2 linked regions of the Nothobranchius furzeri genome follow. The protein of the gene in region 2 binds, or shares a complex with, the protein of the main gene of each other region. Links are inferred from orthologs where the notes say so. Each region holds a gene or a part of one and is shown on either strand. Other genes may lie near its edges.

Region 1 (3,401 bases), on a different chromosome or scaffold from region 2:
GTCTGGCAGTGTCACGGTTTTCCCAATAATCACGTCCTCTCCGGACACACGAACACCAGGAGCAATGAGACCGTCGTCGTCCAGCTTGTCATAGATGGCGTGTCTCATACCTGAGGACGCATTAAGTGTCGTAGCTTTAGAGTGGCTCTCATGGCAGACACTAAAGCCTGAACCTGGTTCTAGAGTAAAATGTCCCGCCAGACTCCAGAGCTGTTGGGTTATGAGTCCAGAATCACTTCTCACCCTGACAGGTTTCACGAGTCGGCTTCTCAAAGATCTCTTCCTGATCAAAACCTTTCTTAGACTCCTGCTCTTTGTAGGATCGATAAAAAACAGACCTACGTGGAAACAAAGCATGACGTAAAGAAGCAACACAAACACTCAGCTCAGAAGAAACTGCTACGTGTTCCTGGAACTCACCTGAAGAACCCTCGGTCTACAGCCGACCTGTTCATGATCACAGAGTCCTCCTGGTTGTACCCGGTATATGAAGCAATGGCAACTATTGAATTGATCCCTAGAAACAGAAAAACACCATCAGAGAAGAGCTGTCAGCGAGGACAAAACTTCTGCTATGACCTACAAACTAACCATCAAATCTAATCAACTGTAAAAACCCGGCACTTTCAGTTAAAACTAAAGAAGTTTCTCAAGTGACACTGTGTCTTGGATGAATCTACAACTAAACTAATGGTTTCGTTTGCTGATTTATTGTTCTCCAGAGCTTAAAAGTAGCTAAAGAGTCCAGAATAAGTTTAAATAGATGTCTCAACAGTTGGGTGTTTGTCTGATGGGAACAGCCATGACTGGAAACACCCGGGTTACCTGCTGGCAGTTCTCTGAAGCGCAGGTACTCCATGGATCGAGTGGTGACCAGTGGTTTCTGAGGGTAGTACAACACGTGAGCCAGCGTGTCCATTCTCACATGGAAGTTGGTGATGTAGACGCCCATGGCCTGTTTGCCCATAGCAGATTGGTACGTGTTCCTGGGGGACTGAACAGAAACCAGACATCTTGTTTAGTCTGTGCAAGACACATCAACCTCATCAGGCCATTTTCTGTGCTGCTAAACTCTGATCTGGGCTCTGTAACCTTAACTTATCAAACACACAGCTGTCCTCTTAGGTTTGCTGCAGAAATTAAAACAGAGGCAGCGATTTCGGGGCATCCTCCACCAGAGAACCTTTATCTATTATGTCAGAAAGTGTTGGCCATGCTGCTTCGCTAGATCTGATTCAACGAAGCTTTCCTCTTTAAGATCATCAACCTGATCATTTCATTTTGCAGCCAGAATCAAACGATGTTTTGTTGGAACCTGGTTGTGATCCGGGAACGGGATGATGGAGGCACACACTCCGAGGATCATAGATGGATGGATTTCACAGTGGGTGTACGTCGAACAATAGGCCACGCCTTTTTCCTGAAGGTCATCGGGGGTCATGGCGAGCATGACAGTTTCCTCCTCCAGCGTGTCAATGTATTCCACTACACCACTCGCCACCAGGTCCTGCCAGCTGATCAGCAAAACAAACAATGTTCAAGAAAGTGCACGAACGCCAGTCTGCACACCCGTCAGCCACCCCTCACCTGTAGTTGTTATATTCTCTCTCCTTCAGCTGGTCGATGTGTCGTCTCTTCAGCAGAAGTTTCTGCTTCTCTACAATCAGCAGCGGTCTGCAAATCCTCCCGGCATCCGTGTAAATCCTGATCTCACGTTCTCGAATGTCTCTGATCATTGATACCTGGAAGGATCAGAACCACCCAGAAGCAGATGAGAGTGATCATCACTTGGTGAGCAGACTGATATCAGACTGTTTACGACTTTAAGCCTTCAGTTATGTTTATTATTAATAATAATAATCATAATTACGTCCAAATGTCATATTTCCCATTTTACTTTAGCAGAAACTCAAACTAATGTGTTTTTGGTTCATTTACATAATGTCTCCTGTCTGGATGTCGGAATTCCCTCTGGGATCAAAAGTGTTCCAGAATTACGTCTGAACCAAAAAATAAACCTCAATGCAACTTTTCTCCTGTTTGACTGAAATCTTTAAATCTAGAAAATGGACAACTAAAATCGAATAATGTCCCTACATTGTGAATGGTCTCGGTCTTCAGAAAGTCTGAAGTCTCAGTCTGGTAAATCCAGCTGTTTATGTTTCAGCTCCTAGCATGCAGATGTTCCTAAAGCAGCCTTTCCGGTCAGAACTAATGTGAATGTAACTGTCCACACCTCAGACACAATGATGTCCATTTGTCGGCGGAGCTTCCTCAGCGTGTTCATCAGCTGCTCGGGGTCTTTGTGGATTCCGACCCAGCAGCCGTTCACAAAGATTTTAGTGGCACTGAAGAACAGGAAACACAAACATGAATGGAGTTTGAGCGATTATTGACGTGAATAAAATCGCTCAGATTCAAGCAAGGGAACCAACTCAGCGATGGCAGCAGGGGAGATCTCCTCCAGGTTCTCCATGCTCCACTCCTCCAGAAACTCCAGGATGGGTGACGGCTGCGAGCCCACAGAGATGTAGGCCATCAGGGCCAGGTTCTTCACCAGACCCACAGCATGACCCTGCAGGCGGTGGAAAGGTAATTATGATATTTATCACCAAGACCATAACGAAACATAAGACTCTGACCTGGTGTGGATTTTACCTCAGGAGTTTCAGCTGGACACACCATGCCCCACAGAGTGTTGTGCAGCTGTCGAGGCTTTGCCAGTTTTCCATCTCTGCCGATGGGAGAGTTGACTCGACGAAGATGTGACAATGTGGAGGCGAAGGTGAGACGGTTCAACACCTTTGATTTCAGGTTAGAGGAACCCAGTTAGACTTAGAGAACTCGAGGGAGAGCTGATTCCACAACAAACATCTTGGATCTACAAAACCAAACAGCTGGCATGGAGCCAAGCATCTGTCTCAGGTGAGACAGGTATTCTAACCTGAGACACTCCAGCTCGAGCCTGGTGAGCCTTCTTAACGTCGCCCCAGTTTCCTGTGGCCAGCGAGTACTTGAGTCCATCTGAGATGATACGAGTCTTGATGGCGAGCTCCAGGTTGAAGTCTTTTCCTCTATCGATGAACTTCTGAGCATAAATCCTGATCTCCTTTAGAAGGTTCTTAAACATCCTGAACAGAAGAATTCAGAGTTTAGCTTAAAACTGTCCAATCAAAACAAAATCCTACCTAAAAAGTGAAAACATAGAAAGCGATTCCCTCAGCTGATTAAGCCCGTTTCTCATTTTTTTATCATTTTAAATGCAAACTAAAAGAAGTTGTTTCACAATTATAGCCTTGTATCAGCTGAAGGACTGGAAGCTTTTAGTTTGAAACAGACAGGAAATTATGAATTTTTTTTTAATTAGAAACTGATGTCTAGTTTCTCATCCAGCGTGTGTG
Region 2 (2,895 bases):
CAATGAGTCGATGTCTGTGTGTTCAAAGACTCCCCAGCTCTGCGTAACCTGAATGAGGGTTTTCTGAAAATTGCCAAAGAAAATGAAATCAAAGTGCTGAGCTTTGCAGAGACGTTGCCCACAAATATTGGTCCTATGATTAAGATATTTGTGGTCCCAACTCAGTCAGCAGGTATGTAAGATACAGTGGGGAAAAGTCAATGAGCTATACTTTTGATAAAATAATAAAAATCTGTCATCCAGTTTCTTACCTTCTCTTTTTGAGTAATCTCTCGTTTTGTTCCAGATCTGGGCATCGGAGAGCTCATTCAGGTGGATGTGGATCACCTGAACATCTGCAAACCAGAGAAGAAGGACTCGTTTCTCTACAGACGCAGCCTCCAGTTCATCCAGGAAGCACTCCAGAGATACACAAGCCAATAAAAGACATACAAGCACATCAGTAGTGACATTAAATTGTTTACTTGAAGTTTGAGGAACACTGAGTCCTTCCACCAACAAACTCAAAACCCCAAACCTCTTTTTGTACACGTTTACAACCATAATGTGAGATGTTAACAATCATAATGCAGACACATTTATTTCACACACTTACTAACTGTGATAGATAAACCCGAACCTCTGATTTGTTATCTTTTTACATTTTCCTCCCTTATGTTTTCATTTTTACCGGTCAAAGTCATGTTTCGAGTAAACTCATATTATGAGAAGTACCACCATCTTTCCATTTTAGACCTTGCAGCCACAACAAATATATATTTACTTAAAGATGCATTTTTAAAAACTGCTTCTATGTAGTTTTGATCAGAGTAATGGTTGAAATGTTATTTTTGTATTCATTCATTCTACTGAAACGTGTTGTTTTTTGTGCCAAATGGATTATTTGCCAAGCCTTTTTTAAAATGGCCCTGATTTAATATATTAGGTCAACTCTATTAATTTTATTACATTAATTATGCATCACAATGGGCCAACATATACTAGAAATGAGAATAAATCAAATGAATGAGTACATTTGTTGAGTTTGACTTGTCTATGCATTCATTAAATGATGTATTAAAATACTGAATACAACAGAATTGTTAAATGGAAATCGTTTGGTGTTTATTTTCTAACTTAATCTGACAAAAAGTAATTTAACAAGCATCCATTGCAAAATAGTTAAAAACAAATGTACATGTGCAATACTCACACACACATGCATACGTACGCATGTATACATATGTATGTATGCATGTACATACACGTACACGTTTGTTCAGAAATCTTGCATTATAGATCACTTGGTGGAATTGGGCTGGGAGTAAAGCACAGGAGCGTCAAATATTTTTAATAACAATTTTTCAAAAATCACAGTGAAATCGTTATAATATAAGCAGATAATTACGTGAAATGTACCAGATAGCGTGGAAGAACATGTTAAACGGAAGTGGCAAAAATGCGCATCCTTCAATGCTATAGTGGTAGAGGAAGATTGTCCCTGGTTGCTCGCCGTAGATCTTACCTCAATGCTACGGAACTTAGCTTAAAAAGCAGCTGCTGTTGGGTCTGAACGAGTAGTTTTACACGATTTCTTACCAACTTTAGTGTTCTCCCGAACATTGTGGTTGTTGTGGTAAGTTTTAATTAGAACGTTTTGCTTAAAAGTGTTGCAAAATACGTTGTTAGCTTGTTATTTTTAGCTTGTTTACTATTTCTCATGAATTTTCTCTGTACATTAACTGTCCGGTATGAATATGTGTTGTATATGCATACAGTATTTATGTTACTGTCGCAACATTTTTGCACGTTTTGTTTATTTTGCAGACTTTAATCAACTACACCTGTCATCATGGTGAATGTTCACAAGGGTGTTCTTGTTGAATGGTAAGGAACTTCAGAGTGAAGAAAACTGTAAAATTACTTTCTTCTGTAGAAAACTCCTACAATTATAATGTCTTTTTCCTCTCCATGTTCTGTTTCAGTGATCCTGCTATGAAACAGTTTCTCCTCTACCTAGATGAAACCATGGCTTTAGGAAAGAAGTTCATCATCAAGGATCTTGACGACACACACGTTTTTATCCTGGCAGAGGTGGTCCAGACTCTTCAGGAGAGAGTTGGGGAGTTAATGGACCAGAATTCATTCCCCATCACGCAAAAATAACCCTCAGATCTTTGACTTTCCTCTCATGGACTACTCAATTTGTTGTTGTTTGCTTTTGCTTAATAAAATGAGACATGTAAATGTTTTGGTTTGATAAAAGTGGAAGTGATCAATTGGATAAAAAGTTTCTATTTTTGTGGAGTTCTTTTTCACTTGTAGATGGGGAACAAAAATAATCTATTAAAAGTACTTGTTAATTCACACCATAATTTAACCAAATCAGATTTTTCATTTAATCTAGTTCCGATAGAAAAATAGAAAATCCCTTTATCCACAGTGGAGAAATTTGGGTTAAAGGAATATATGTACATATCTAGAATGGCATGCCAGCCTAGCAATTACATTCATGGCAGGAGCAAAATGAGAAAAATATGATAAACAAAACCTCACAGTTACCTAAGGCATTTGAAGAGGTACATTACAACAGAGTAATTATTGTGAGAAAATAATTCAATTGTTGTTTTTATGATATCAGGGATTCAATTAGTGCTTTCAGATAGAAACCAGAGAAGAAATTGACATTTCTCACAAATCTCATAACGTTAATGAAATACTGAGATAATGAGTTTTCCCTGTTTAAAATGTTTTGCCACCTTCAGTTTGTTCTATTGATGAATGAAATGACAGAGATACAGTTATAATTGTGAAAAGTCTAACACTAGACAGTGTCCCTAATGTTATGTTAGGTGGACAGAAACTGCAAATGTACTTTTAACATGTCTGAGGATAGAAATTTTATAAACGAGCAAA

The links. The genes of interacting proteins can lie anywhere in the genome.
Region 1: gtf2h5 (region 2) and polr2b share a complex: the UniProt entries of both Homo sapiens proteins name them as parts of the TBP-based Pol II pre-initiation complex. The link is inferred for Nothobranchius furzeri from reciprocal best matches to the Homo sapiens genes GTF2H5 and POLR2B.

What each region holds. Positions count from the first base shown.
Region 1 is NC_091741.1:64,309,188-64,312,588, reverse strand, and holds part of polr2b (DNA-directed RNA polymerase II subunit RPB2), read right to left. Parts: intron 3,132-3,401; coding exon 2,945-3,131; intron 2,803-2,944; coding exon 2,659-2,802; intron 2,576-2,658; coding exon 2,436-2,575; intron 2,349-2,435; coding exon 2,237-2,348; intron 1,743-2,236; coding exon 1,588-1,742; intron 1,515-1,587; coding exon 1,316-1,514; intron 995-1,315; coding exon 826-994; intron 518-825; coding exon 421-517; intron 339-420; coding exon 244-338; intron 111-243; coding exon 1-110. UniProt on the Homo sapiens protein: Catalytic core component of RNA polymerase II (Pol II), a DNA-dependent RNA polymerase which synthesizes mRNA precursors and many functional non-coding RNAs using the four ribonucleoside triphosphates as substrates.
Region 2 is NC_091742.1:2,693,586-2,696,480, reverse strand, and holds gtf2h5 (general transcription factor IIH subunit 5), read left to right. Parts: upstream 1-1,475; 5' UTR 1,476-1,615; intron 1,616-1,806; 5' UTR 1,807-1,831; coding exon 1,832-1,866; intron 1,867-1,964; coding exon 1,965-2,145; 3' UTR 2,146-2,280; downstream 2,281-2,895. Other genes in the region: protein SERAC1, read left to right, coding at 29-172, 287-423. UniProt on the Homo sapiens protein: Component of the general transcription and DNA repair factor IIH (TFIIH) core complex, which is involved in general and transcription-coupled nucleotide excision repair (NER) of damaged DNA and, when complexed to CAK, in RNA transcription by RNA polymerase II.